4 linked regions of the Diceros bicornis minor genome follow. Each later gene encodes a partner of the first gene's protein in a complex. Links are inferred from orthologs where the notes say so. Each region holds a gene or a part of one and is shown on either strand. Other genes may lie near its edges.

Evidence for each region.
Region 2: the proteins of OGT (region 1) and ZNF831 are in contact, whole or in part, in a crystal structure (PDB 8FUF), measured with the Homo sapiens proteins. The link is inferred for Diceros bicornis minor from reciprocal best matches to the Homo sapiens genes OGT and ZNF831. Residues at the interface, in NP_858058.1 of Homo sapiens: Phe723, Ile734, Met779, Ile787, Ile790, Asn791, Arg792, Gly793, Leu808, Ala809, Thr831, Arg832, Ser833, Gln834, Tyr835, Gly836, Leu837, Pro838, Glu839, Arg877; in NP_001371283.1 of Homo sapiens: Phe937, Ser938, Pro939, Lys940, Tyr941, Leu942, Leu943, Arg944, Leu945, Pro946.
Region 3: the proteins of OGT (region 1) and KRT7 are in contact, whole or in part, in a crystal structure (PDB 4XIF), measured with the Homo sapiens proteins. The link is inferred for Diceros bicornis minor from reciprocal best matches to the Homo sapiens genes OGT and KRT7. Residues at the interface, in NP_858058.1 of Homo sapiens: His506, His508, His509, Asn567, His568, Pro569, Tyr642, Thr643, Lys644, Gln849, Phe878, Val905, Ala906, Pro907; in NP_005547.3 of Homo sapiens: Val9, Phe10, Thr11, Ser12, Arg13, Ser14, Ala15.
Region 4: the proteins of OGT (region 1) and RBL2 are in contact, whole or in part, in a crystal structure (PDB 4XI9), measured with the Homo sapiens proteins. The link is inferred for Diceros bicornis minor from reciprocal best matches to the Homo sapiens genes OGT and RBL2. Residues at the interface, in NP_858058.1 of Homo sapiens: His506, His508, His509, Asn567, His568, Pro569, Tyr642, Thr643, Lys644, Gln849, Phe878, Val905, Ala906; in NP_001310537.1 of Homo sapiens: Thr417, Pro418, Val419, Ser420, Thr421, Ala422.

Annotation. Positions count from the first base shown.
Region 1 is NC_080781.1:64,766,693-64,774,702, reverse strand, and holds the start of OGT (UDP-N-acetylglucosamine--peptide N-acetylglucosaminyltransferase 110 kDa subunit), read right to left. Parts: upstream 3,011-8,010; 5' UTR 2,911-3,010; exon of another isoform or gene 2,815-2,910; 5' UTR 2,806-2,814; coding exon 2,769-2,805; intron 1-2,768. UniProt on the Homo sapiens protein: Catalyzes the transfer of a single N-acetylglucosamine from UDP-GlcNAc to a serine or threonine residue in cytoplasmic and nuclear proteins resulting in their modification with a beta-linked N-acetylglucosamine (O-GlcNAc).
Region 2 is NC_080758.1:4,509,538-4,516,785, reverse strand, and holds the start of ZNF831 (zinc finger protein 831), read left to right. Parts: upstream 1-4,246; coding exon 4,247-7,248.
Region 3 is NC_080756.1:17,875,837-17,883,635, reverse strand, and holds the start of KRT7 (keratin, type II cytoskeletal 7), read left to right. Parts: upstream 1-4,789; 5' UTR 4,790-4,926; coding exon 4,927-5,250; intron 5,251-6,590; coding exon 6,591-6,802; intron 6,803-7,799.
Region 4 is NC_080771.1:6,627,186-6,635,197, reverse strand, and holds the start of RBL2 (retinoblastoma-like protein 2), read right to left. Parts: upstream 3,008-8,012; 5' UTR 2,920-3,007; coding exon 2,680-2,919; intron 390-2,679; coding exon 259-389; intron 1-258. UniProt on the Homo sapiens protein: Key regulator of entry into cell division. Directly involved in heterochromatin formation by maintaining overall chromatin structure and, in particular, that of constitutive heterochromatin by stabilizing histone methylation.

The sequences.
Region 1 (8,010 bases):
TGAGGGAAGGAGGGGGGAAAACAAAAAGTTAGAAATGCAAACAAAAAAATGTAAAAATATGGTATATTAAACTTAAAGATGAAAAGGCTTGAAACTATGTAAAGCACTAGAGTGTTCTGCACATTACTTATACCCCCAAGTTAACACCAGGTGCAGAATTGGCATTTTTAGAATTCACCCATTAACTTTCTTTTCCAGACTCGATAGAAATATTTACTTCCAAATGAGATTACATTTTATGACCAAAAATACTTTGTACCTTCAAATTATAAATCCAGAGGTAGTATCTAAAGATTCACTAAACATTATTCCTTATACCTTAAGTAACATAAAGAAACAAAATATAAAACGTGATTTACAAGGTCACAAATAATCTACTGGGAAATTTAATACTTTGTCCCATGTTTTAGGTTGGATTTGTGGGGGGTAGGGTACTGGCAACAATCTCTCTCTTAACCTGGGACACCATGAGTTTTTAACTCTTAAAATTATATTGATGTTTTTGTATATTTCACAACTTCAGTTTTTAAAATTAAATTAAGGGCGACACTAGAAACAAGCAAAAAGGAAAAAAGAACTAAAAGTCAAGGTGCTATTTTTAAAACAGCTGACAAACAAGATGAATTCATCTGTCAAGAGCCAAAATATTTAAAGGGGTCATCAAACATTTTAAATAAAAACCCAAGATTATACAGCTCCTCTACCATCCCAAACTCATGAGACCAAATTAACTAAATCCCACCCACGACGGTTTGACACCAGCATTTTCCAGAGAGCACTGACATTGTCTAAAGGATTAAGACATTGCAAACAACCCTACATAAACCAAGCAGTTACCTACAACTGCAATGACTTAAAAAAAATAACGGGAAAATGCTAAAACATAAAACCATTTGATAATGTGCAACAGAATGAATAATAAATGAAAACACTTTGCTGTAAGTAACTTAATTCAGATACTTAAAGGATATGGGTAAAGCTCAGAGAGGGGAAAAAGAACAACAACAAACTAAGTCTCAATTGTAAATACTTAAACAATGATACATTACTGGGAATTTGGCCATAGCACTTTCACTAGACGGTTGGAATGGGAAACCATGTACAAATTACTTAAATCCTACCAAGGTCACAGTGACAAACTGAAATCCGAGCCTAGCTCCCCAATTATGAGAGCTGGCGAGTGATCTGTATGCTCAGGAAAGCAAAGTAAATTTCCTGACAGAATGCACAGCTGACTAACACAAGAGCCAGAGAGACTTGCATCCAAATCCGGGAGGGGTTCTATCTCTAATAGAAACTACAAAATTACATTTTAGACAAGTCTCTAGAACTTCCTAGCTCCTTATTTTAACACATTTTATCAACTTTTCAAAGCCGCTTATCCGCTATTTTTAACACTTTAAATGACAGCTTCCTCAAATAAAATAATACACCTAGAAAAGGGCAAGCTAGTACAGAATCTTAAATCTTTAAAAGTCCCTGGGCGGGAGGCGACCACTGACTAATTATTAATCCCACTGTCTACAATCATGGATAAGATACGATTGAAGATTCACCTATTACTGCACAATGTCCAAAAACAATAAATAAAACCCTTGACACATCTCAACTGAGAAACAACGACAACAAAAAAATAACCTCGTGGGAAACCTTAGAACCGCAGCCCAATCCCACCCCCACCCCTCCCGCCCCAAATAGCCTCAATATGGAAAGGCAGCTGAGGGACGCTCCTGTAATTTGGTTGTTTTCTTATTTTTAGTACCAAATGCTGTCGACTGAATTGTCTAAAAGGGCAACCGCCTTGCACTTGTGCAGCTACACTCCAGTTGCTTTACAAACTCTTCAAGCAAGGATGGAAACCAAAAAATACACACCCTATGAATAAAGAGCTACTGAGCTAAGGAATGGGGATGGAAGCCCCAGAAGCGGTGGCGGAAGAACACAGGGAGAAAGTAACACAAAGCGAGACTTCGGCGGGCAGGGTGGTCAACGCCAAAGCACCAAGCCCCCAGGGTGGCTTCTCCCCAAGGATAGGAAGTGGACTGCAGGGCTGGCAACCTCGCGAAGGAAAGGGTGTGGTTCCCCCGGGAAGGGAGGGAGCACAGGGTGGGAAATCCAGGCTGGGGGCAGCGGGTGGAATTGGGCGATGGCGAAAGGAACCCCTGGAAATTTCCAATCTAAACCGGGGCCGCTCAACCGAAGGAACACCCGAAAGGCGCTGCCCAGCGGGGTGCTCTCAATATCCCCTCTTCTCGAGGTTACGTAGAGCCCACCGAGGAGCTTTTGCTCGTCCTTGGGTGATGCACAGTGAGGATACGCTTCCATCGGAATGGCACCCCCGCCCCAGACTGACAGCGAAGGACCGGATCTAGCTACGGAGAAAGGCCTAAAGGGGGATGTGGCAGGGGAAGAGGAGGGGGCGATGAGCTGAATTAGGGGGAAAACAGCTGCGAAGGCGAGTCAAAGGACAGGAATTCCACTGCAGTCCATTCCGAGACATCCTAGGCGCGCACGTGGGGTAGAAACGTCCCGAGAGAGTAGAAAGCTGGAAAATTTATGGAATTCAAAAGCAAGCAAGCAAGCAAGAGGAAATGTCTGAGGAGCGGACGACAGCGGAAAACCCGACCAGACGCCGGTAGAGAACGAAAAGCTCCGCAATGCCACTGCTGTAATGGGGATGGCTAGGGTGAAGGAAGGGAATGAGGAGAGGTAGAGGACGGCGCGAGACCCCAACGCGGCGTCAGCTAAGGTAGAACGGACACCGGTACCTGTGCTGTCGGCCACGTTGCCCACGGAAGACGCCATCTGGAGCTTCTTGAGGAAAAACAAGAGGGGGGTAATTGAGTCCTGTTGCCGCCACTACTGGCAAGAATGTTTCTAGAGGTAGGAGGAGGAGGGCAGCAGCCGTACCAGTGTTTTGGCAGGCTTAAGCGGCGGCAGCAGTTACAGGCTTCGAACCTTAGAACTCTAGTTGCCCATCTACCTCTCACGGTCTTGAAATGGCGGCGACGGCTCCTCGGCCGAAACAACACGGACCGGAACTACTTTCTGTTACAATCTAGTACCGGCGCGGAAGTAGCGCGGTAACCAGCTCTACCCACAAAATGAGTGTACTCGAATCCCCTAGCTCTTTTGTAACCTTCCGCGCGGGGCCCATTGCGACAAACACGATTCTGTCGAAAGCGCATGCGAGCAACCCTGTCAACCGCACTCGCGGTTGGGGCACTGTCTGGGCGAGGAGCGTCCAAGTTTTTTACTAGTGAAGCGGAAGGGTAAAAAGAAACCCGTACACGTGACGGATGCATTTTTGCCAAAGTGGTCTAGTCTATTAGCTAGCCAATGGTGAAGATTTTGATATAAATGCCAAAGACATCTGAAAAAGTTTAATCAACTTTATTCGTACCAAAATGGATAGTTACAAGTTTAATGGATCAATTCTGAGCAAGTAAATTTAAATGGTTATATTTCAAAGACTGAACTGTTGTTCAAAACGATAGGGGAGGGTCCCAATTTGAACACGTCTTAATTCTGACTCCAGCCATTGGTTTAAGCACTTTAACAAAGAAGATTGATGCTTTCACAGGGCCAAATGAACCCAAACATCTCACATCGTGGCCATATAGCCCGAAATTTCAAAATCATTTTGGTATTCAGGATAGGTCTGCTCACAGTATGAGGGCAAATGCTTCATAACTCAGAAACATGCTGAGAGTTTGCACTCCAAAGGCAGCCATAAAGATGTTAAAGATGATTCATATTCGTCAAGATCCATGACTCTTCTGAGTTGTGACTCCATTTCCACCACATAGCTTTGCAAATCATCACAATCAGTGATTTCGTTTAGCTCAAAGCAGTTCAACAATAATAAATGAATTCACTTAAACCTCATATCTAGATGGAGGCTGAATTGCCTCCACTTCCTTGAAGAAATGAGCTCTTATGATCTTCCTGCAGTTTCAAATCCACTATTCAGACATTTTGTCACATTGGTATTAATTTACATCTCATCTCTTATTCCAGAAAAGATTTAGGGTAGCTTGCCACATCAGCAAGAAATTATTATAAACCAATGGAGGCAACAAGTTGGATCTCTCAGAGCCTTTTTATTTCAAAAAGTCCTTGATCTAAGAAAACAGGTCAGTGAATTTCTTCAAAACATTTCCACTACCTAGTCATTTGACTACATTAAAAAAAAAAAAAAACCTAAGTCCTCAAGTTCTGCTTCAATTTCTTTGAGACAGTTCACAAACTTTCATTATGGATATGAGCACAGAGAAAATTCATACTATTGATAATTTCCTCCATCACATTCATAATGAAGAGTCACATGCAGTGAAAAAGACCAAGTTCACTCTACAAACTCTCCTGGAAATTGGGCACCAATCTATTCTCTTAATTTGATTTAACTGGTAAAAGTCCTCCCCCCCCCCCACAAATGCCCCCATCTGTGGTGAGTAAACTCAGCTTTTCAACTTTTAGAACAGACTTCTCAGATTCCACTGGCAGATGTTTAGGCCTTACTGATTAGTGGGTGCTAGCTAATTAAGTAAAACTCTTTTTGTTGTTAGATGCCAGGTCGTTTTCCCAGTCAGGCAGGCTATTTGGCCCATTGATACTTGTGGTCTAAGGTTCCTTATCCTGACAGAAGAGTCAGAGGATGTTACGATACATTTTGCTGGGTGGAAAGCTGGATAGTGGGGCTCACAGTGGTTCAATAAAGAAAAACCCCTGTTGGAGTCTCAAGAACCCCCTCCAGGTACCTTCCAGAAATAGCACCTGGAGGGTTTAGTTTGAGGGACTTACTCATCTGACAAACACATCTTCTTTGGCCAGTCAGGTAACATTTACTAGAGTGCAAAGCACTGTGGCGGACACAAAAGTCACCAAGACAAGATCTTTGCCCTTAAGGAACTTGAAGCCCAGTTAGGTAGACACAAAAAGCTACCAGAGCATAAAACAGAAGAGTAGTATTTAGGTGATGAAATATATTACTGTCTATAAATATCTGGGGAGGGAACAGTCACTTCAGGCTGGAGGAGGGTGACGAAGAAGGCCTGACTTGGACATCGAAGGAGGTGCTTTTGTGTGTTCTCTTGAACGCTGATTTCTGGTTATTTTTTTTCTCCCTTTTATGTGCAGCAATTCTAAATTCAGAATCATCTGAAATAAATCAGCCACACTTCAATCCCAATTCCAAACTTTGCCATCCTAATAACACCACTAACGGTGTCTTCGTTTTCTGTTACTTTGTAACAAGTTACCACAAATTGAGCGGCTGAAAACAACACACATTTCGCACCAGCGGCGCTAGCGCTGGGCGAGGGAGCGGGAGACACGCTCTGGCCGCCACCGCCACTCTGCGGCTGGAAAATGGCTCCAAAGGCTCAAGGAAGCTGGAAAAATACAGAGATGTAGCCCCACAGGCTCTCCAGATGTTTGGGGATAATATTCCAGAGAGAAATTGAGCCCCCTGGGTTAGGTAACCAGTCATAATGAAGAAAATTAGTCTTAAAACCTTCCAGAAATCTTTGAACCTGAATAAAAGTAAAGGAGAAACTGATTTCAGGGTAGTATGACAACCATCACTAGCCAGTGAGTTTGGAAAACGTGATTCCTTATTTGGTAGCTGCTATGGTAAAGATATGGCCAGCTGTGATATCAACAGTGAAGATGAAAAAGGTGGAAAACATAGATTAAGAGGGAAGCCTAATGGGTACACTAAAAAGGCGGCTTTCTGCAGAACAAAAGCTGAAAGGCAAGGGGAGCCCACCCTCCAGGAGCTCTGCCAGAGGATACGTTTTCCTCTCCTCAGCACCAATAATAGTCTTTAAAGATGTGAGAGCTCAAAGACCAATAAGATCCACTTCCCTTGGCAATCATCCCTATAGTCCTACCCCTTGACCTCTTGACTTACAAACGCTGAGGATACGTGTATCAAGATGGAGGAGGTGAGAGTCAAAGCCTAGGTTTATTCTTCCAATCCAAGTCCAGCACGGAATAATGTTCAAAAAGATTTTCAGTCTTCAGCCTGAAACTGCGTGCTAAGAACAAAATAACTCATTGAAGAGTTCAGAATCTCAAAATGGAGACTTGCATCTTCACCTCAATGAACACATGCCTGTAGTTATTGGACTTATGCCTCAAGACTGCGTTTGGTATTCTGTGCCTGTAGATGAGGGGATGCATCCTTTAGAAGGATCGCCTAGCTATTGTCTGGACAGTTCTTCTCCCATGGAAGTTTCTGCAGTACTTTCTCAAGTGGGAGGGAACTCTTTCTCCAAAAATGAAAATCAAGTAGGCCAGGACATAGTCGTTGCCCCAGAGATCTTTGTGGATCAGTCTGTGAATGGCTTGTTCATTGGCACCACAGGCGTCGCATTGCAAAGCCCAAGAGCGAGTCGTGATGATGTCCCTCCACGTTCACCATTGCTACCTCTAATGCAGAATTATCAAATGCAAACGAACTGCAGTGGACTCACCGGCACAGATGTCCATGTGTCTGAAAGTATGCGCTATTATTTGAATTTCGATCCTGACTCTGCTCCTGAGGTTGCAAGAGTTTATGATTCAATGGAAAGTAGTGGTCTTATGGTTGTAACAAGCCTTACAGAGGAGCTGAAAAAACTTGCGGAATAAGGATGGTACTGGGGACCAATTACATGCTCAGAGGGTGAAGGGAATCTAGTAAATGTTCCAGATGGTTCTTTTCTTGTTCAGGATAGTTCTAATGACAGTTATAGTTTAAGCTTGAGCTTTCCTTCCCATGGTAACACACTTCACACTAGAATTGAGCACTCAAATGGTAGGTTTTGCTTTTATGAACAGCCAGATGTGGGGGGACAATTTGGTGATCTAATTAAACATTCAACCAAAGACTCTGAAAATGGAGCTTTTTGTTATTCAAAGTTGGATCTGCAATTTACCCTGTCAAATTGCCTGGATCTGCAATTTACCCTATCAGACTGTCCAATCAAGTATCACAATTTGTGTAGGTGGCGTTCTTTTGCAAGACCTGTGTCGTTTTGTTTTATGTCAGTATTCCAATAGACTTATTTCAAAAACTGCCTTTGCCAAACAAAATAGATTATTGACAGGAGAAGCATTACTGAAAGACTAGGAGAACCCTGTATCTTGCACTTTCAGTTCAAGAAAAAGAGATTGAAATATAGTTTACAAACTTTCATTGCTATCAAAATCTTTTGCTGCCATAGCTGGTTCAGTTTTAGGTGAAAAAAGTAATCAATTTGTTTAGGGGTAGGGAAGTGTCAGCAAGGTGTCTTGAGTTTATTTTTGGTTCTTTAAAAAAGAAAGTCTTGAGGTTTTAGAAGTGTGAATATCTTGTATCATGTGCAAAATAATCACAATGTGAATTATCAGATTCTCCTTCATCCATACCTCCCCAAGTCCTTTGCTGCTATCCACTGTGATTTTTATGCATTGAGGGCACACTTCATGTGTATCCAATCCAAAGTAAAGTTGAATGAAACTTTTAGAATAAAAATCGTTCTCTTTAAATGACCTATTTTCAGAAGATAGTGTTGAAGAAACATACCCATGTGATAAAATGCAGAATTTACATATACACTGAAAATTAGTTTTAATCTCATACTTTAGAAAGAATTATGAATTGACATACTCTTGGGTAATAGAATGCAGGTCTGCAACATGTCTTTTACAACACCATTTTCTAAATTATTTTTAAGATTGTGCTAATTTTTTCGTTGTGAAAAGTTGAATTTTTCTGTTGCCTTCACTTTCATTTAGTGGTTTGTATACTTTTTTAATGGCCTTACATCAAAAAATCTTAAAGAAGTATATGCCACCAATTTAGAAATTGTTGCCTTTTCTGTCATTAGACTCTGATACAAATTGGCATAACATATAAAGACCTATGGAACTAGAACTATTATTAAAGAAATATTACATGATCTTAGATTCCTATGATAATTTTTTGTGTCATCTGTAGTACTTTCCTTTGGCAAACATTGTATCTCAGTTTCTTCAGCTTAG
Region 2 (7,248 bases), on another chromosome or scaffold:
TGGTCACTCTGGGCCCCTCTTGGGTTCTCTGGAATTTATTCTGGGGCTGCCCGGCTTCGGGTGCAGGAATCCTGAGGGCTTCCTCTGTCCCTCCCCTGGACCTGGACATGTGCCGTGGGCTGTGGCTGCTCTGTGTCCTGGGGCCTCTCCCTGTGGCTCTAGGGAATGGAGTCCAGGCTACCCCTCCACCCAACTGCCCACTGAAGCCAAAGCTGGAGGCTCTCCTCCCCTCCGTCCTGACTCTCCTGCCTCTCACATCCTCCCAACCGGGGACTATCCCCCGAGGATTGGGAAAACTGGCTCATCCTCCTGAGATTTCCCCTTAGGGCTTAGGCTTTGGAATTCAGGAGTCTGTACCCTGTTTCTGCCACAGCAGCTCCAACAGAAGCCCTGCCCGGCTATGTCCCTCCGCATTTACCATTTTGGAGCCAGCTGCGGGCAGCACTGCTGTGCCTGACGGCTTTCTGGGGCCACCAGAGCTGGCTCGGTGCATCCACTTGGCCAGCTGGACACGCCAGCATATCATTGCTCCCAAGAGCGACCCTCGATCAGGACAGCTGCCTCACCCCCGGGTCGGGTAACTGAGGCATGTCTTCTATATGATCCCTTCGCCTTCCTCAGCCCAGCTGAGCTCCTGCTGCCCACAGCGGGGACTTGCTCAATGACACACTTGACAGCTTCCATCACCTCGCCTTTCCCACTCCTCTACGAGTGTTTCCTGGGGTCACCTCCCAAATAAAATCCCTGTTATGACATCCTTATTTTGTGAACCCAATCTGAGACAGCATCACTTCCCAGAGGCGGTGAAGGGAGCCTGCTGCGCTGACTGATGCGGAAGAGAAGAGGGGTAGGAAGAAAGATAGGACGAGGAGGAATCGCTAGTTAACAGCTCAAAATATGATGGCGCATCATTGAAAACTCAAATGAGTGCAGCACTTACTCCGTGCCTGACACTACACTCAGTTACTGTTTCATCTGATTCTCCCAGTAGCTCCACTGGAGTGACATGTTCTCAGAGCTGAGGGAACAGAGTCTCAGGGATATTCACCAGCAAGCTGGGTAAGCAGGGACAGGAACTCAGGTCTGACGATTCCCCTGGGAAGCATCTTGAAATCCCTCAGCTAGCAGAGAGGATGCAGCGCCTTGAGGTCAGCCATCGTCTTCCCCTTACATCAGCGCTGAGGAATTCTAGTAGCCACCTACTAATTTCCAAAAATTTCTGTCTTTAAATCTTTCTTTAAAAAATTATAAGGTCTCAAATTTTTTGAGGCAGGAGGCATGATGCTGTGAGCTCCATAATGTTAGACGGGTTTATGAGGAACAGAGAGTGAGAGAGATGTTTCAGGATTGAAAAACAGGACTGACCAAGTCCTGTGGTGTAATATTCTCACCATGGCCAGTTCCAAACTATGAACTTGACCTTACTGACCCCGAAGTTGGAAAGAGATGGAGCTGTGGAGTGCCACACCATTACATAGTATTTCCACTGTACCAACGCAATCAGCATAAATAACCTCAAGAGCGCTGATCATGGTAGGATGTAATAAAACAATTAGTAAGTGATGAGCTTTGAGTATTTAGAACCTTTTTTATTGAGGTAAAATTCATTAAATATCATTAAATTCACCATTTTAACTACCTTAACTTTTAAAGTGAACGATTCAGTGGCATTTAGTATACCCATAATGTTGTGCCACCACCACCTCTATCTAGTTCCAGAACATTTTCATCACTCCAAAAGGAAGCCCTGTACCCAATTAAGCAGTCACTCCTCATTCTCCTTCTCCTCCCATGGCAACCAGTATAATCTGTTTTCTGTGTCTATAAATTTGCCTATTCTGGATTTTTCATAAAAATGGAATTATTGAATATGTAACCTTTTGAGTAGGGCTTCTTTCATTTAGTGTAATGTTTTCAAGGTTCATCCATGTTGTATCATGTGTCAGTGCTTCATTGCTTGTCATGGCTGAATCATATCCCATTGTACGGATACACTACATTTTGTTTATCCATTCATCAGTTGATGAACTTATGGGTTGTTTCCACCTTTTGACTATTTTGAATTGTGCAGCTATTAATAATAATAAACTATGTACAAGTTTTTATTTGAACGCCTATTTTCAATTCTTTTGAAAGGTGTATACTTAGGAGTGGAATTGCTGGGTCACATGGTGGTTCTATGTTTAACTTTTTGAGAAGCTGCCAAACTGTTTTCCACAGTGGCTGCACCATTTTATATTCCCACTAGCAGTGTTTAAAGGTTCCAATTTCTCCATGTACTCAAAAACACTGGTTATTTTCAGTTCAGTCTTATTATTACTCTAGCCATGCTAGTTGATGTGAAGTCGTATCTCATTGTGGCTTTGGTTTACATTTTGTAATGACTAATGATATTGAGTATCTTTACATGTACTTTTGGCCATTTGTATATCTTCCTTGGAGAAATGTCTATTCAAGTCCTTTGCTCATTTTTTAATTGAATTGTTTGTTTTTTTGTTATTGAGTTATAAGTGTTCTTTATATATTCCGGATATATCAGGTACATGATTTGAAAATATTTCCTCCCAGTCTGTGAGTTTTTTCACTTTTCTGATAATGTCTTTTGATACACAAAAGTTTTTAATTTTGAAGCAGTCCAATTTATCTTTTTTTTTAAATTGCTTGTGCTTTTGGTGTCATATCTAAGAATCCATTGCTAAATCCAAGGTCATGATGATTTATTCCTATGTTTTCTTCTAAGAGTTTTGTAGTTTTAGCTCTTACATTTAGCTCTTGCTCAACAATTTTGAGTTAATTTTTGTGTATGGTGTGAGGTAGGGGTTCAACTTCATTCTTTTACATATGAGTATACAGTTGTAATACTTTGGTTTTTAATATAAGTTATTTAACTGTAAGTTTATATAATTTAACTTTTAATTATGGTCATGTTTAACAACTGGCTTGCAAAATTCCTGAAAATTTGACAATCAGCTCTCATTAAGCCAGCGTGAGCTGGTACGAGCCAGTATGAGCTGGTCTGAGCTGGCGCCAGCATGCCACTACTTCCACTGCACCCTGCTTAAACAGTCTTGCTGCTGAAGGCTGGAACTTGGATTTGTTTTTCTTGAGGAGCTGAGTTGGGGGATGGTGGAAGTGTGCTCATGGAGCTCCTGGGGGATGGGTGTCTGAGGAAGAAGGATCTGGAGACCCCCAATCCTCTAGCCATGGGCCTATCTCTCATTTTCCCATTGCATCTGGCTTTCTGTCCCATGGTTCAGAGAGCATGGTTGAGTCTCTTGCTCCCTTGCCAAAAATTTGCCCTGCTGTTCCCCTGGCTGAGAGGGAGCCAACTGTGTTCCAGCTGGATCTGGGGGTGTTTTGGAAGCCCCACCTTGGAGCAGAGAGCAAGCCTGACCCTGAGACTGGGGAAGTGCTCTTTTTCCTGGTAGGGTGGCCAGATAAAATACAGGGTGCCCAGTTACATGTGGATATCAGGTAAGTAATGCACAATTTTTTAGTATAAGCATGACCCATGCAAGATTTGGGACATACTTATACTAAAGAATTAAGTATTATTTATCTGAAGTTCAAGTTTAGCTGGGACTCCTGTATTTTCATTTGCTAAATCTGGTAAGCTTCCCCTCAGGTCAGTTTTCTTCTTTATTGCCCTCATCCAACAGCAGAGACTCAGAACTCCTGAGTGGGAAGGGACCTGGGGAGGTGCTGATTCTCTGCCCATTTTACAGATCTGGAAACCCAGCCCCTGATAACGAAAGGGACTGGTCCTAGTGCCTGGAATCATGGTGAACTTTGGGGACTTCACTGAGCTGAGCTACACGACTTTTCTTTTTCATGAAGTCAGCACATTTTCTGGGTGTCTCCTCCGCATGGGAACTGTTCTGGGTGTCAGGGGATGACCGTGACAAGGCTTCCATGCACCTGTGTAGAAGGCCAGACTCAAGAGTTCCCTTTGGACGTGTTAAATAAGAGGCAGGATTCAGACAGACCTGGGTCCAAATCCTGCTCTGCCGTGTATTGGCTGCATGACAAGTCACTTCCACTCTCTGAGCCTCAGTTTCTCCTTTCCTCACATGGAGACAAGGGCACTTTTCTTGGGGGATTGTTGTCAGGCTTCAGTGGAGTGATGAAATGCCTGGTGGGGGCAGGGAAGAGTTTAGGGTATGATGAGAGACAAGAAATATGCATGGTAAAGTCTGGTTGTTGCCCACAGGTTGCCTGGCATCCTGGGCTGCCCAGATGATGTGGGATGGAGGTGCCAGAACTCACCCGCGCTGCCTCACCTGCCAGGGACCAGCCAGCTCCTGCTCCTGGCCCCCCAGGGGCCCCAGCTGGGCAGGCCTCACCTCACCTGACCTTGGGCCCTGTCATCCTGCCGCCAGAGCAGGGCCTGGCCCCCGCCGTGTTCCTGAAGGCCCTGCCCATCCCACTGTACCACACAGTGCCTCCCGGGGGCCTCCAGCCGCGGGCCCCCCTCGTGACAGGCAGCCTGGACGGGGGCAGCGTGCCCTTCATTCTCAGCCCCCTGCTGCAGCCTGAAGGACCTGGCCCCACCCAGATGGGGAAGCCAGCGGCCCCAGCGCTCACCGTGAACATCGTGGGCACTCTGCCTGTCCTGTCGCCGGGCCTGGGGCCCACGCTGGGCAGCCCAGGCAAGGTGCGGAACGCCGGCAAGCACCTGTGCCCGCACTGCGGCCGGGACTGCCTGAAGCCCAGCGTTCTGGAGAAGCACATCCGGTCCCACACCGGTGAGAGGCCCTTCCCGTGTGCCACCTGCGGCATCGCCTTCAAGACCCAGAGCAACCTGTATAAGCACAGGCGCACCCAGACGCACCTCAGCAACTCTCGGCTGTCCTCGGAGTCCGATGGCGGTGGAGGCAGCCTCCTGGAGGAGGGGGACAAGGCTGGAGGGACCTCCAGAGCAGATGGCAGGGGGGACAGCTGGAGCCAGAGAGGGGGCGACGGGGCCCAATCAGAAAGACCCCTTTCTCCAGCCGCCCAGGGCACTGGACTCTGCCCAGTGCCCACCACACATCTTCCTGTGGCAGAGAACCTGGATCTGAGGTTGGAAGCGGTTGCCTGTCCAGGGTCCACATTTGCTGACAGCGAGGCCCCTTTGGCCCGCACCCACACAGCGCCCCCCGGGCTCCCGCTGGCCGGCGCACAGCCGCGGCGTAAGCTCCTGGAACAGAAGCCGCCGACTGCCAGCGGGTGCTCCCTGCAGCAGGCCACGTCCTCAGAGAAGCCCGGGGACCCCAAGGCCTCGGAGGGCCGGCTGAGGAAGTGTGAGAGCACCGACTCGGGCTACCTGTCCCGTTCGGACAGTGCGGAGCAGCCGCTGGCCCCCGCCAGCCCCCTGCACAGTCTGTCCGAGCACAGCGCTGAGTCCGAGGGGGAGGGCGCCCCGGGGCCGGGGGAAGCCAGGGCCCAGCCGGCGGGGCGGAGGCCCAGCTTGGAGCTGGAGAAGAAGCAGCTGGAGGAGCGCATCGCCAGGCTCATCTCGCACAACCAGGCCGTGGTGGACGACCCCCAGCTGGACCACGTGCGGCCCCGTAAGACGGTCCTGTCCAAGCAGGGCAGCATCGACCTGCCCATGCCTTACACCTACAAGGACTCCTTCCACTTCGACCTCCGGGCCCTGGAGCCCGGCCGGAGGAGGCAGGCCACCCTCTGCTCCGCCCGCTCCAGCTTCAGCCCCCTGGACAAGACACGGCCCCTCTTCTTTCACTCGGTCCCCACTCAGCTCTCCACCACCGTGGAGTGTGTGCCCGTCACCAGAAGCAACTCGCTGCCCTTCGTCGAGGGCACCAGGATGTGGCAGGAGCCGCCGGACCCCCAGGACGCCTTCCCCAGGAGGCAGAAGCCTATGAGTCCCAGGCCTGCCCCTGCCCGACTGGTGGGCGTCCCCAGCGGTCACCCCCGGGCCCTGGTCAGACAGGCCGCAGTGGAGGACCTGCCGTGTCCCCCCGCTGGAGACACCCCTGCTCCTGTAGATGACCCGGGTGGAAAGAGAACTGCTGTAGGGGAGGGGGTGGCCGGTCAGGGCAGAGCAGCCAGTAAGAAATGCAGCCAGAGGAAGCTGAAGATGTTCTCCCAGGAGAAGTGGCAGGTGTACGGGAGCGAGACGTTCAAGAGAATCTACCAGAAAATGAGACCCAGCCACTCCGGAGGCAAGAAGGCGAGGGAGGTGACAGCAGGCAGTGGGACAGGATTGGACCTTCCTTTGCAGGAAGAGGCAGGGGGCAAGGGCACAGCGCTGGCCCAGGATGGGAGGACCCCTGTCCATGGGGACATTTCTGTGGGGGCCAAGCCAGGGCCTCGGGGAAGTCTGCCAGCTCCAGAGGGCTTCTTGGTGACTGAGCCCCCCAGGCAGAGGGAGACGGTGGCCAAAGCAGGAGGCAGTGACCAGCCTGGGGTGAACAGGGCCATCTCGCACCCTACTCTCAGCTGCAGAGATCCCCCCTGTTTGGGCAGCAAGAGCCCTCTGATTCCTACAAATGGGAGGCTGGAGCTAGGGTGTCAGCTGCCCCCACCACCTGGTCTCCTCAAAGGAAGTGACCTAGAGGCTCCCAGGCTGGTTTCACCAGATCCCAAACTGGAAGGAGGCACCCGCAGTGGTGGGGACGCAAGGACCTGTCAGCGGGCCCCAGCCATCCCGAGGCAGCCCAGTGGTAGCTCTGGGGAGCCGCAGCTTGCGGAGGACCAGCTCCCCTCGGAGAGCAAGAAGCTGAAGGTGGAGGAGCTGAGCGGCCAGGAGCAATCGGAGTCTCTGGGAGCAGGAGGAGAGGCTCCTGGTGGCCACGTGCAGGCTACCTCCCTACCATCTCAGAACCAGGACAGTGGGCCCGGGGACAAGCCAGGAGGGCTGCAAGGGAGCGGCGACTGCACGGCAAGGGGCAGGGCTGGACAGCTGGGTGAGCCCCTGGGGACCTCCGGCACCTCCTCTGCTGGGTCTTCAGTGGCCCTGTGGCAGGCAGCGCCGAGGGACAAGGAGCCCTCGCTGCGTCCTGCAGCTGCAGTAGCCAGGAGCCACTCCCCGCTGGCTGCCCAGCCTCCGGCTCCCGGCGTCCTTGCTGCCCTGGCGGACACTGCCTTTCCTCCTCAGTACCTCCTCAGGTTACCTCAGGGAGAGGCCCACCCCCCACCGCTCGTCCCCCCAGGGGCGGGGCGAGGCCAGGACCCTCTCTGTGGGAGAAGGTGTCCGGAGGAGCGGGAATCCTTTGTTGAGTCGGGACTGCGGGCCATCCTGCC
Region 3 (7,799 bases), on another chromosome or scaffold:
GGATGGAAGTGAAAGTCACTGGACTTGAGGAGCTAAGGGAGGATCAGGCGCAGATGCTGGGCAGGTCATCTGCAGGAGCATGAGGGTGCCAGGGTGGAGAGGGGCACCAGGAACCAGGGCCAGAGTCCCTGGGGAGCGTGAGGGGGTGGTCAGGAGGTCGGGAGCTGACTGTGGGCCAGCAGGGACCGGCCACAGGGGAGGGGGTAGATGGCTGGATGGCAGTATCGCTGGACGGCATGAGCCTCACAGGCTTTTCAAAAACTGCAGTGATTTCTGCAATCAACACATAAAGGTAAAAACTCAATCAGTATATAAAGGATTTTATTCTTTTCAGTAAGTAGCATTCCTCCGAACGTATGTAGCTTAATTCATCTAATTACTTCCCATTGATGGGCATATATGTTGTTTCCTGTTTTTCACTAACATAAAATTATGGCAGCAGGGACCACACGTCCGTGTGCACTTTTGGTGAGAGCATCTGTAGAATGAGTTCCTGGCAGTGGAGGTACTTGGTCAAGGACAAGTGGATTCATTTAATTTGTTTTGTTTATTGAGGTAAGGACACATGTCTTTAATTTTGATAGCTATTCTTGGGGCCCAGGGAAGGCCACCCCAAAATACCCCACAATGGCATTTTGATTATTTTGAATTAAAGTTACTTGAGGAGCAAAAAGGGCATTCTGACCCTCCTGTCTCTGATCCCCTGAAAGCAGAAAATGAATCTCCAATGTGAAAGGTGTTCTCCCTGCATCCTTATCACCAGAGCTAGGGAATTCAGGGCCGAGAATCCTGCCTAAACAAGCCTTGCTAATTTACCACCTCAAGCCTAAACTCGGCTTAAATTCCTCACTAACTACATACCTCAAATCTAAGTTTCTTTGTCCTGTCAATTCTTCACAAATTTACCATTTCTTTATGTAAAAGATATATATACTGCCTGCTTTGTTCACTCTCCGAGCATCGTTTCTTTATGATCTCCAGTACGTACAGATTAAACTGGGTTTTTCTCCTGTTAATCTGGTATTTTCCAAATTTTATGATTAGTCCAGCCATAGGAACACAAGAAGGGAAGAGGACATGCCAATCGATGACCCCACGAAAAAAGGACAGAACTTTCTGTTACCCACACACCCACAAACACTGTTAGTCTTTGACCATCTGACAGGTGAAAATGGCTTTTCCTTGCTATTCTGGTCATATTTCTTTGAGTGAGGTTGAGCATTTTTTTTTCATATTTGCTATTTGATTTTCTTAATTTCTTTTCTTCTTTTTGTAAGGAATCTAGTGGTTCAAACTGTCAAGGTTCAAATCCTGGCTTTTCTACAGACTAGCTATGCGACTTTGGGCCATTTACTTAAATTCGTTATGCCTCAGTTTCCTCTCTTAAAATGGAGGTAATAACCCACACTATGCTGCAGGGGTATCGTGAGAACTAAATGGGTTGTTGGCTGCAAAGAGCTTGGAACCTAGCCAGGCCCACGGAAAGTAGGCACTACGTAGCTGTAGCTCATACTATCCATGTCTGTTGCCCACGTTTCTGTTGTATTGCTTGTCTTTCTTATGCATTCTTCTATTCAGGAAAGTAGCCTGTTGGTTGTCATATATGTTGCTTCCTTGTCTTTTATCATTTGACTTTCTTTTAAAGTATTACATTCCCCGCAGAGGTGTGAAATGGCTTTTGTTACGATTACAAGCGTTCGAATTCCAAGATCAAGAAAACAAATCATGCCTTTTGTTTTTTCTCTAGGAATCAGAGGATGTGTTTTTGGGGGAGGACACTGGTCAGAGTAATGGTTCTGAAAGTGCAGCAGGGAGCCAGAAAGAATGTCTCCCCCCTCACGGGAGAGCAACAGCCAATTCCACCTGCAAGGGCCACAGGATGGTGGTGTCTGGGTAGGTTTAGTGAAGCCGAGCCGGGCTGAGGACATGTCTGCTTGTTTGTACGGAGCTGGGTCCAGAGGGAGCAGGGGAAAACCAGGCAGGGAGTGGGAGCACAAGCGAGTATGTGCTTGGTGTGTGTGTGTATGTGTGTGTGTGTCACAGAACACTATGGAGATGGGAGTGAGCCTTTGGGGTAGGCGAAGCTTTATGAGATTAACTCATCTCAAGATTCTGCCCAGAATCTCCTAAGGGGTCTCTGTGAGGCCAGGCTGTGGCGGGGGGAGACTGAGTTTAATGAACCACTGGACTGTGCACTCTCGCGGGGCAGGAACTTGACCCTCGGCCTCTGGGTGTTGACAGCTTCTCGTGAAGGTTTCCAGAGGGTGTCTGTGCACGCGGCCTGGCACCAAGTGGGCTCAGGGTGCTGGCCTGTGAATGGAGAGACAGGAGGAGGCTGGCAAGGGCCGGAGTCCCAGGAATGCTTCAGGGAGGGGATGAAGGACCGAGGGGTGGATACTGGAGAGGCCCTGGAACGGGGAAGTGTTGCTCACGGAGAGGCTGAAGCCTGGGTCTGAAAAGCCATAGACCTTTTCTCCTTTGCAATGTCCTCCCAGCTCCCTCTACCTGAGGAACCCGGAGGTTTCATCTCTTGTCAAGAAACTACGGCCCAGAGAGGGACAGTGACCTGTCCAGCATCACAAGGCAGGTCACCAGCGCCCTGCCAAAGATTTCTCAGGCCAGGCTCTAGAGGAGAAGGGGAGGGGTAGGAGGAATGCCTGGTGTGGGTGGGGTATAGCAAATCCTGTGGGGGGCTGCAGGTGGGAGGGGGTGGGAGGGGCCAGCAGCAAAATGTAGGTGGGGTTGGGGGGTGGAGGGGTAGGGGGCTGGGGTGGGAGGTACTGTAGTGGGAAAAAGAGTTGAGGAGGACCCCTGAGGGGTAAGGAAGTTGTAGAGAGAGAGAGTGTGTGTGTGTGTGTGTGTGTGTGTGTGAGATGTGGTATGTATGTGCGTGCATGTGAGTGATGTGGTGTGTGTGTCTGTGTATGTGTGATATAGTGTTGTGTGTATGTGTGTATATGTGTGTATGTGAGCATGTATGTGTGCGAGAGTGATGTGGTGTGCATGTGTGTGTGTGAGTGTATGTGTGAGTGTGTGTATACGTGTATATGTCTGTGGAAATTAAACATTGGGTCTCTTTTGCTTGCTTGGGGGTTGGGGGTGGGGGAGGAGTGGGACCCCCATGACTGCAAATATCTCAGGGCCAGGCAATCTTGACGCTCTTCAAGCTACAGCTGAGAATTCCAGGTTAACTCTCCCCACCCCCTTCTCTCACGCTCTCTTTCTCTCTCTTTCTCTCTCTCTCTCTCTCTCTCTCTCTCTCTCTCTCTCTCTCTCTCACACACACACACACACACACACACACACACACACACACCCTGCAGCAGACATGACTGAAGGTTTCCCTGGGTATCCCTCCACCCCTGCCCTAAGCTGTCCTGACACCCCCATGGAGGAGAGGGCAGGGAGGGGTGTGGGTGTCTGCTGAGATGCCCGAGAAGGGGCTGCTGCATGTAGCCTCCTCCGGAAGGCCTTCCGGTCTAACAGATGGAAACCAGGAAGGGCATTCCATTCCCACCCTCCTCCACCCGGACGCCCCCAAAGGCTTGTTCTGTGGTGACAACCTGGCCAGCTCATTGGGCGGGGCTGGAGCTGGGCTAAGGGTGACAACAGGCCTGGCAGCTCTCTTTTACAAAGGCTCTTAGGTGGCCCCTCTAGTGAGCTGGGTCTGGGGAAACGGGGCAGGGACCTGCAGAGGGTGTGGCATGTGAGACTGGAAGCTCCTAGGAAGTGAGGGCAGCGCAGCTGTCTCTGTCTGGTGTTCCCTGTCCCAGCACAATGTTGATCTCCCTCTTGGGCTGGGTTTGAATCCACTGGGGATTGTTTGGTGGTGGCTTCAGGTGGGGGAGGCGGTGAGAGCTGAGGACCTTACAACAGGAAAATGGGGGGAGGGGGCAGTATTTGAGTGTAAATGCAAGCACATGCACAGACATGCACACGAAGTGTGAAAGTGTGCATCCACAGACCCCCCTCCCCTGAAGACAGACGCCCACTTGTATAAGAACGTTCACAGACATGCACACAGGTGTGCACATAGGGAAGCCCAGTGGCCTGCAGGTGTGTACACACAGAAGTGTACAGACATCCACAAAGTGTCCCGAATACACACAGGTGTCCTCTTCCTCTACAGGGACAAAACAGAATAAGTGGACAGGAACGTGATTGGGGATGGGGGAAGCATACACCCGGGGTAACCATTCCCACCTGCCTCTGGGCTTCAGATGCCTATTGGAACAGGAGGAGAGGGCCAAGAAATGGGGTCATGCCCCACTCGGCCTAGTTTCTATATGGAAATGAGGTGTAGGGACAAGCGGTCAGGGAAATCAGCCAGGACAGGCCCACCCTGGGGTCAGGTTACTCAAGAACTGAGCTGAACTCTCAAGGAGGAGCTGCACTTGAGGGGAGGGAGAGCATCGGGGAATGCCTTTCTGGCTTTCAATAGCCTGGGGAGCGGGGCTGGACTGACTCCTGGACTAGAACTTTTTGTCCACTCCTTCCCCCAATCGTTTACCGCTTGATCTCTCTGCTCTGGCCTCAGAAATCTGGATATTCTTCACCCCTTCCCCAAGCCTCCTCCAGGAAGCCTTCCCTGACTGATACCGTTTCAGATCGGCCCGGACCGCTGTCTCCCACCGCTCTCTGCGTCAGCCTGCATTAGGGGGTCTGGAGGGCTTCGCCTTCCTCCCCATTCTGGACGGTTCCGGCTTGGACCGAAAGCCTGGGCCTCGCGAGGAGGGCGGCGCGGGGGCGGAAGCGGGGCCCCGGGAGGGGCCGGCGGGCAGAGAACGGTGGCCGGCGGCCAGCCCCGCCCCAACCTGTGTCAGCCGATCCGCCAGCGCCTAGCGGATAAAAGCGGCCGAGTCTCCCGGAGGTCAGCGAGTTCGGCCCCCTGTCGCCCGCCGCCACGTCCAGCCCTGTCCAGCCAGCATGTCCCTCCACTTCAGCTCCCAGGCCTTCAGCTCGCGCTCCGCCGCCTTCCCGGGGCGCGGCGCACAGGTGCGCCTGAGCTCCGTGCGCCCCGGCGGCTTCGGCAGCAGCAGCCTCTACGGCCTGGGCGCCTCGCGGCCGCGCGTGGCCGTGCGCTCCGCCTACCCGGGCCCGGGGGGCGCCGGCATCCGCGAGGTCACCATCAATCAGAGCCTGCTGGCCCCGCTGCGGGTGGACATCGACCCCTCCATCCAGCAGGTGCGCCAAGAGGAGCACGAGCAGATCAAGACCCTCAACAACAAGTTCGCCTCCTTCATCGACAAGGTGAGCCGGCCAGCGCCCTGCCGAGCCACGCCCCAGGCCACAGCAGCCACCCCAGCCCTGGCTGCACGCGGGTCGGGCGCTGGGAGGACTGGTGCGGGCTCTCTTTCCGCCAATATCGGGGACCTTCCCCCTCTCCCTGAACCCTGTGGCTCTTTTGTCCCCCGCAGTCTCCAAGCCCTCTCTTCCAGCAAGCTGCCCAATCCCGGGATTTTGCCTCCCAGAATGTGTGCCTGGGGCTGTCCGGCTGGCTGCCCCGGCTGTGTCTGCGAGGCGGCTGCGGTTCTTGGGCCGGTTTTGTTGCCGGTATCGAGTTGGCACTCCAGAGGCCGGGCCAGGAGTTCTCTCTCTGGGCACCTTTCTGTGAGAGGGGGCTGCTGGAGTCAGAGATGCGGTAGGGGTGACATGCGCTTCCCAGCTGAGGAGACGCCCCTCCCCCTCAGATTCTGCAGATGATGGAAGTAAAGGGCTGGAGGGAGGTGGAAGGGGGCTCCCCCCACGCCCACACCACCACACCTACGTGGTTCTCCAGCCTCTCTTTGGTGGTAGGGGTGAGGTTATGCCTGGAACTAAGGGCTAGCCCAGTGGGGCCTCTCTGGCCAGTGCCTCCTCCCTGGAGTGTAGACCAGGCTTCCCCTCCCCTGCCTTCCAGTCTCTCTCTGCTTCCTGGCCCCACATCCCCCTCTCCTTCACCGTGTAGGCCCTGAATATACTCCAGGCTCTTCTGAAGCCCTTCCTGCCCAGGCTCCCCCCTGCTGTGGAGCTCCTCTCTCTCACCATCTGCGGCCCCCAAGTCCCGCTGCCCTGAGTTGCTGGTTCTGAGAAGGCTGGCTTCCCACCCCAGTCATACTGGGTGCTCCATGGGGGCTTTGGGGCCCAGGGCTGAGCACAGACTAGGTGCTCATTTTGCATGGCCTTGGTTCTAGTGCCCTGTCCAGAGGCCCATTGGAGGAAAGGGGAGAGAGGATACTGAGGGAGGACGAGATGAGGTCCCAGCCTGAAGGGAGGGGCCGAGTGAGGCCTAGGACACTGACAGGTGGGGGCAGCCCTTCAGAGAGGGAGTGGGGTGGTCACCTGTGATGGATGGGGAGCACAGGAGGGAGGAGGCCCCGGCACGAGCACCGCACACGTCGGTGGAGCAGGCCGACCTGACCCCTGGGTCACACTCTAAGACACTTGAGACAGAGTCCTGGAGGAGAGGCTTGTCCAGGGTGGGCTTCCTGGAGGAGAGGGCCACGGGCTGGGGGAGAACAGCCAGTGGGAGCGTGGGCTCTGCTGGGTGGCTAGAGACCCTCCCAACCCCGCTGTGGATGACACCGTCTCCTCTTCCATTTCCCTTCTAGGTGTGGTTCCTGGAGCAGCAGAACAAGCTGCTGGAGACCAAGTGGGCACTGCTGCAGGAGCAGAAGTCGGCCAAGGGCAGCTGCCTCCCGGGCATCTTTGAGGCCCAGATTGCTGGCCTGCGGAGGCAGCTCGAGGGGCTGCAGATGGACGGGGGCCGCCTGGAGGTGGAGCTGCGGGGCGTGCAGGACCTGGTGGAAGACTTCAAGAATAAGTACTGTCCCCCAGTGCCCCCCGTGGGGATCCGTGTCCTGGGCCCACATGCCTCTCCTCAGCCAGCCCTCTGCAAGTCCCCTCTTAGGGGTCAGAGGGTGCGGCTGCTCCGTACAATAACTCCCTGAAGGGAAGGTCCTAACACATTCCCTGTCTCTCCCTCCCCCCTACTTTGTTCTGGGGGCTGTTTTTAAGTCATTCTGGTCTTTTCTCTGGACTTCCTGCCCGTGGACTATCTCCGCCCAGCCCTGACCTGCACTGTTCCCTTTGGGTGCCTGACCAAGGTCCCAGGAGAGGGTGGGGCAGAAGGTGTCCTACCACACATGTGCTCCAGAACTTGAATGACCCTCACAGATTATGCTAGGACAACTCCATTTTGTTCAGAGGAGGAATTAGAGACCAGAGAGGTTCAGGGACCTGATGGAGATCACACAGCAGACCACTAGGAGAGCTGGGACTTGAATTTGGGGCCCTTGACTCCCAGGAGGAGTCGGGGAGCTGACTTGGGACCGGAGAAGCAAGGAGAGAGAAGGGTCACTGTGAGCCCTGGGAGGGGCTGGGGAGGCTGAGGGGCGGGTCTGGTCAGGGCAGGACCTGGAAAGGAGGCTGTGAGGAGGGGCGGGGGTGCCAGCCGGGAGGGCTGGGGTTTTGAGGACAGGCCTTTGAGGTGCCCGCTGAGCTCTTTTCTCATTGAATGGAAACCAAAGCCTGAGGCTTGGGCTGGCCGCACCCTGGTGTCCCTGCCCGTGGACACACGGAGCTAGTGAGTGAGTTCTGTGCTCCGCCTGAGGGTGCATGACTAAGCCCGAGCTCAGGGACACTGGCTCTGACTGGAGGTAGAACAAAGGCGTCTGTGGAGCGTGCCTACCCCCTAGTTCCCTAGGGCGACAGTCAACAGGATCAATCCGAGCAGGTGGAGGCAGACAGGTGCAGGGCAGGGAAGGCCTGGCGCCACCAGCGAGCCCCTGTTGTTCTGTGCACTTGGCTTGCATATATGT
Region 4 (8,012 bases), on another chromosome or scaffold:
TGAGTCAAAACCTTTAATAGTAAACTCTTCATACAAGTGCCTAATACCTTAAAATTCAAATATTTTTCACCAAAGAAGCAAAATAGAATGGATACTAACTTAGATGTGGTAAAGGGAAACCATGACCTAGCTTCTAAATTCAGCACTCCATAGGTACAAACGCTCAGAAAACGATGAACAAAGAGAATTCTTACTATCACTGTAATTTATGAGCTTTTAATGAGTCACACTCTACTTTTCAAATTCTAACATAATTACCTCTGCTCTGAACATCGCAGGATTCTAGTTAAAGATACATAGTTCCCTTCAACTGTCCCTTTGCTGACAGTTGGCACAGATTTTCTGCAAGCCACGTATAAGGCACATGCTAACCAATGAAGATCATTTCCCTGTAAAATAAAAGAAAATTGATTTTTACCTAATGAGCTATAGATATTTCAATATAAAAAAATTCTTACGTTTAAATTGAAAGTGTTATTTATATGTTTGTGGGAAACTGTATTTTCAGTGATGGCTGATCCCATGTTTCTTCTCATAAGGTAACATTGATGTTGTTCCACTGAGAGGGAGGAGTCTGTGTTTCCTTACTTTGAACTGTCTCAGCCAATAGCACAGGTGGAAGTGATACCACGTAACTTGCAAGATCATAAAAGGCAATACAGATTCCACCTGGCTCTGTCTCTCAGGACATGTGCCTTGGCAGTGCCAACATGGGAGCAGAACACCCTGGGCAAACTACTTAACAGTCACAGAGGCTCAATTTTCTTATCTGAGGACTGTGAGAATTAAATGAGTGACAAGTATAAAGCATAGAAAATACAAGAAATCAAAAGATACAATTCGATAACCAGTATTCTGTGTTAAATATCCATGAGCTTTATTTTCCATTGTACACTTCCATGAGCCTGACATCCCACAATATCTTACAGAATACCTGACTACAAGCTCCACAAGGGCAGGAATTTTTACATTTTGTTCACTGCTCTATTCCCAGCACCTACAAAAGTGGCAAAGAATAGGTGATTGTGAAATATTCACTAAATGAATAAATATTCATTCATTTATTGAGTAAACTGAGCTAAGAATCTGAGATCAAAGTCTTAAAAAAGTTGAGTAATCAAACATGTGTTTTCAGAAATAATTTACTAACCATCTATTATTTGTCACTTGCTTATATAACACGGGACTTCACAGGACTTAACCTCTGTGAATTGAAATACGTCAACTATATGGTGATAACGCTTGTTCTATCTAATCTAGATAGAACCTCAGGATTATCCTGAGGGTAAAATAAGAGCTTATTTTGAGGCAATTACACCCATCACCAAAAAAAAAGTCTTTCTCTCTGCCTGACCACAGGAACCACTGAGAAATAAATAGGAACATGGCCTTTTCAGCCTGATCACCTAAGTATATGATAGAGCTTTGTAAATTCTAAAGCACTGTCTATATGAGCGCTTTATGTGCCAGAAACTACACACTACCTGATTTAACCTTCGGAATGGTTCTGTGAGGTAGGTACAAATATCTCAAATTTACACAGCACAAAAGTGAGTTTTGGAGTGGTTAAGTAAATTGTCCAGAGTCACCTAGGTCTGTCAGGTTCTAAAGCCACTGTATTACTAGCTTTTCTTTCTTTCTCTTTTTTTGTAGATATAACAATGGGGAGAAGAAATCGAATTAAAATTCTATTGATGCAAGAATAAATAAAAAAAATAAGCCGAGTGAGTGACACGTTGGCAAAAACACCCTGTTACAGTCAAATAATACCTTGGGTTAGGCCTTCTCATTCTGAGCCTATTTGCCCTACTCTTTCCCCAAACTGTAAAACAACCTAAGAAAATCACGCGGCCTCCTGTTTAAATGCCACCCACACGGGCAGTCAAACAGCTAATAAACAAGACAGACTTCCGCGTCCCTTCCCATTGGCCCATGACGGGGAGGTGCCTACGGAGTGGAGCCTCACTGGCTAGAATGGCTATTTTTCTCATCTGCAGGCCCGCCCGAAGAAAGGGGCACAACACGCCTAAATCACAGCGACTCTGCGAGTCCTGTGCAAGGCCTGGGGCCACCAAAAGCCCCCCAAAGTCGTCGCGGCCTCGTGACAAAGCGGGGCGTGTGTCTATATCCAGCTGGGCAGAAAGTCCATTTCCTTCGCCCTGGGGAAGATTCGTCTTTGTTTACACCTCCGTAAACACAGCCCGCATCTTAACGCGTTTACGCAAACCGATGCCAAGCCCGGACAAAGGCCATTTGGCGCCGTCGGAAAGAAGTGAAGGAGAAGCCCACAAACCCGGCGCGAACACGGGCAGGTCCCCCGCCCTTCCCCGGGCGGTCCTGACACCCGCACCTGTCTGTCCTGCCAAAACGGTGGCTGTATTTTTGTCATTGTGACCCCGGCACGACCTCAGCCCCGCGCTGCTACTTTAGGGCAAGAGGTGACCCCGCTCGGAACCCGGCAGGGCAGAGCCGCGAGGCGGGTTCACCGTCGGGGCCGCTCAGAGCTCTGCCAGAGCCGGGTTCCCAGGCGCAGGGGGCTCCCACCCCTCTCCAGGGGACCCGGGGAGCCGCGCCCGCCGGAGGACCCCGCGGGCGCCGAGCGGCCAGAGGCGAGGCCCCTCCCCGCCGCGGGGCGCGCCCACTAGGCCCGGAGAGGCGCCCGTCTGCCCCCGGGCGCACCTCCAGCGTGTAGCTCTCGCTCATGCTCCGGTAGCTGTCCCAGGCCTCGGCCCGCGCCGCCTCGTCCATGTTGAGGCGGCTGCACAGCTCGTCGAACCGCTGCTGGGTCTGAGGGGCTGGCGACCGGGCCGGCTGCGCGGCGTCCTCCGCCTCGCCGTCGTCGTCCTCCTCCTCATCCGAGGCTGCCGCCGCCGGAGGAGGAGGCGGGGGTGGCGGCGACTGGTCGCCTCCCGATGGCATAGCGCACCCCGGGACGGCCGGTCCTCAGGTGAGCTGAGGGCCCGGGCCCGCAGCCATTCAAACCGCGAAGCACCCGCCTGTCGGCCGCCCGCACAGCCACTGCGCCGCCCCCAACGGCGCTGGACCTCACTTAGGCACCCGTAGTTCTGAGCACGGCCTGCTGGGAAATGTAGTCCAGGCCGGAGGCTCGCAGGGGTCAAAAATCATCTTTAAAAAATCAGCTCGCGTACTCTTTTTTTCGCTGAAGTGAAAGCAGCTTCTGTACATGTTAAGTGCTGCCTCTTCATCGTGAGAGCATCCATCAGGGCTATGCTGAAGACAAAACATCCAAGGAACATTGACATGTGAAGGTTTAGTGTCCACGGTGTCACCAGAAATAACATTCATCGCCTGAGTGTCCTTATGTAAAAAATAAGGATAATAGAAAGGACCTATATGCCTAAGTTCAAATTTAGGCTTCACTCCTAATTTATAGTTCTTTGCTATGTTTTAATTTTATCTGAGCCTTTCAAATAATTATTGGATTTTTTTTAAAGTGGTAATTCTTTTTTTCCCCATGGGGCAAATTTACGTTCACTATAAGTGACATATTCATACTACCCTCAGTCACCCAATTGGCTTAATTTTGTTCCTTTCTTTTTATTTTTCTTTCTCCTTTTGTATCTATAGTGAACTTGAATCACTATTTCAAATCTTCTTTGATTTATAAATGGGTAGATTATAAAACATTTTCATGCTTGAGGAGGTGTAGGCACTGCTGTTTTGCTGTGGTGTCGCTTCTCTCTCTCTTCACTGACCCTTTGAACCAGCCACCGTGCTGTGAGGAAGCCCAGGTCACTTGGAGAAGCCTATTGTCAAAGATAAATAAAGCCAGACATTAGTAAAAGGGGTGAAAACAGATTTTATTCAGCCACTACTAACAGTGAGGGAAAGAACTCAGATCCATTCTGATTTGGCAGAGGCAACTGGGTGATTTAAAGAGAGAATGAAGGAGTAGGGGTGGGGAGAGTGCAGAGCTCAAGCAAAAAACTACAAAGAGTTGGTGAGTGTAAATGTGACTAGGCCAGCTGTGTCTGCTAGCTGGCAATTTGTTGAAGTTAGTTCTCACCAAGTGCACAGGACCGGGGGCCCCTGGTCCTCAGCCCAGCCATGTTGGATGAGCCAGATTGGAAGCAGATCTTCCAGCCTTCCATCAAGCTGTCCCAGCTAATGCTGTATGGAGCAGAGATGAACCTTCCCACTGATCCCCGTCCAATTTGTGGGCAAAGGAAATTATTATTATTGTTTCAAGTCATGAAGTTTTAGGATGGCTTGTTATGCAGCAGTAAATAATCAAACACCTGTTAAGTGTAAGACATGTATTTATCAATTATCATGAAAGAAAAAAAATCACTTAATAATTGGGTGTTTTTCTTGGTAATTTTTTATGCCTCCACCAGTCTCTCCAATAGATTAAATTTGTTTAACCTTAAAAAGCTAAAATTACTTATGTATACACGTGGAATACCACTCAGCCATAAGAAACGATGAAATCCAGCCATTTGTGACAACATGGATGGACATCGAGGGTTTTATGCTAAGTGAACTAAGTCAGAGGGAGAATGATCTCACTCATAAGTAGAAGATAAAAGCAACAAACAATCACAAAGAGACAAAGATTGGATTGGTGGTTACCAGAGGGGAAGGGAGGAGGGAGGAGAGCGAAAGGGATGACTAGGCACATGTGTGTGGAGATGGGTTGTAATTAGTTTTTGGGTGGTGAACATGATGTAATCTATGCAGAAATAGAAGTATAATGATGTACACCTGAAATTTATACAATGTTATAAACCAATGTTACAAACCAATGTTACCACAATAAAAAAAATTAAAAAGCTAAAATTACTTAAGAATTGACAACATTCCTTCAAAAAAAGAGATAGGTTTTAAGTCAGAGCCACTTTTTGTGTGTGTGTGTGTGAGGAAGATCAACCCTGAGCTAACATCCATGCTAATCCTCCTCTTTTTGCTGAGGAAGACCGGCTCTGAGCTAACATCTATTGCCAGTCCTCCTCCTTTTTTTTCTTCCCCAAAGCCCCAGTAGATAGTTGTACGTCATAGTTGCACATCCTTCTAGTTGCTGTATGTGGGACGCAGCCTCAGCATGGCCGGAGAAGCGGTGCGTGGGTGCGCGCCCGGGATCCGAACCTGGGCCGCCAGTAGCAGAGTGCACGCACTTAACCGCTAAGCCACAGGGCCGGCCCAGAGCCACTTTTGATGATGGAGATTAACTGACTTGGACATAATTTTTGAACAAGTTCTTAAGAAAAGAGTTGAAATTAGATTCTTAGACTATGCTTAACAAACACTTATTTCTCTTATCTTATCTCCTTCTCCCAGAAGTTCGAGTGGCCATCTTAAAACACAAATCTGATCACCTCTTGCCTCCGCTAAAATGGTTTCCTGCTGCTCTTCTCAGGAAGTCAACACCCTGACAGCCTACAGGTTGCCTGTCTCCGTGCTCTCTCCCACACTTCCCCCGCATCTTCAATCACTCCTTCCATCAGTGAAGTACCACCTGAGATGTCAGTTTCTCAGACAGCCCTATTAAATATTCTCATGGCACTTATTATAATCATAATGAATTATTTACGTGTTTATGTTTCATGTCTATCATCCTCACTATGCTTTAAGATCTATGAGAGGAGCGACTGTCTCTCTTTAGTTCCATTCTGTGACCTTAGAGCCTACTTATGGTGCCCGGCATGTTATTGACTCACCATTATATTTATTGAATGAATGACTGCTTATGATAAGTAAGATATATCTTCTTCTTATTAGAGCCTTAGATTTTGTGCATGTAAAATCCTTACTCATGTTGTGATCTGATAGCCCAATAGAATGTCTGACCGTAAATGACAGTCGCCTAAAAATAAACTTTGTTTACATTATATTTATCACTTAAAATACATGAGAACTGTGAAACTTTGCCAAAATTTTTTATATAACAAAACACACAGGTCTTCAAACTTTTTGATCATGTCTCCCTAAAAGATATAACCTTCTAGAATATCTTAGTGTTGACATCTAATTTTTTTTTTTTTTTTTTTTTTGCTGAGGAAGATTCACCCTGAGCTAACATCTGTGCCAGTCTTCCTCTATTTTGTATGTGGGTCGCTGCCACAGCGTGGCCGCTGAAAAGTGGTGTAGGTCCACACCTGGAACCACACCCGGGCTGCCAAAGCAGAGCATGTCAAACTTAACTACTAGGCCATCGGGCCAGCCCCGAGATCTAAAATGTTTCATTAAAAGTTTGATCAGGTGCAAAGGATGTAATATCCAGCATGTAACTATAAACCTTTTAAAATAAAACCTTTTAAAATAAACTTTAAATATATCCAATGGACTCTAAATATCATGATTTGATACTCACTGTCATCCAATTTTAAAAATACATGAACAAAACTTCTCTTTAACAATTGGAAATTTTCTATCATTCCATTTTCTCTTTCCCCTCATATTCCCGTTCCTACTATCCCAACAAAATGTTATCCTAATATGTTTTGTGCTTGAAAGTCCTTTATTGATCTCTTTCAGATCTCCTTTCAGCAAAAATGTACAGACAAATTAATTTGTTTTAGTATCCTTCTGTTCATTCTTTTATGTCAGATTCATTGAGGTCTAATTTGCATGCAGTAAAATTCACTCTTTTATATGTACAGTTCTATGAATTTTGACAAATACATACAGTCACGTCCACCACAAACAAGAACACTTCCGTCATCCTGAAAGTTTCCTTGTGCCCCTTTGTAGAAAAACCAACCTCACATAGCCCCTGGTAACCACTAATCAGTTTTCCGTCCCCATAGTTTTGCCTGTTTTCCCAAATGTCATAGAAACATAATCATAAAATATGTAGCCTTTGAGTCCGGCTTCTTTGAATGTAGCAAATTGCCTTTCAGATTCATCCAAGTTGTTGCATGTGTCAGTAGTTCATTCTTTTTTATTGATAAGTAGTCTTCTGTTGTATGAATGTACCAACGTTTCTTTATCCATTCACCAGTTGAAGACATCTTGGTTGTTTCCAGTTTTTGGTGATTATGAGAAAATCTACTGTAACATTTATGTATATGTTTTCGTGTGACACGAGTTTTCATTACTCTTGGGTAAATACCTAGGAGTATGTTATGGACTGCATGTGTCCCCCCAAAATTCATATGTTAAAGCTCTAACCCCCAATGTGATTGTATTCTGAGATAGGGCTTTTAGTAGGTAATTAAGGTTAAATGAGGTCGTAAGTGCAGGGCCCTAGTCCATAGGATTGGTGGCCTTATAAGAAGGTGCCCAGGCAGACTAAGACAGAGTGGTATTACTGCACTGCATAGTAAATGTTAAACTTTATAAGAAACTGCCAATTTTTTTGCTAAAGTGGCTCTATCATTTTGCATTCCCACCTACTTTGAAATTTAAATTTATTTTCTGTGATCATGAAGCTATAAGTGTTAAATTCCTTTCAGATTGAGTGATCAGATGGCTTTTATTGAGACTATGGCTTGAACTGTGTTTGCAGTTTGTTTATGTGTCTCCCATAAACATTCAAAAAAAAGAAAAAAAAAAGTGCTGCTGCCAGCAAAAACTGTTCATTTGTTTTGAATTTCCACTTGAGGCTGCTATCTACTCAGGCGGGCTCAGGCCAATTTATATTTCACCTGGTATGTGAAGAGTCTCTTGTTGAGACCTCAGTTAACTGGCATTTTATTTGTGATTAATTCCAGTCAGGTGTTTGTGTCCCATATAGACTGATACCACGAGCCCAGCAGGTCTACCCCGCAAACCAGATTTGCTTATTGCGAATGAGGATCTGCCTGCCAAAAATTCAATCCACCGTATAAACTACAATTAGCTAAATTTAGTGCCCAGGGAAGCCTTGGCAATCTGGAATAAACACAGCCTGCCCTTTTAGCTCTTTCTGTCATTATAAACAATTATTGCCTTATGATGCCTACAAGGTGTGTTGGAGGGGATATTGGGCTACATACCATCAACTGCTCTGTACTGTTGAGTTTTTAAACACTTTGTCTATTTTTTTCTTCTTTCTTGCATTCAGGCTATAA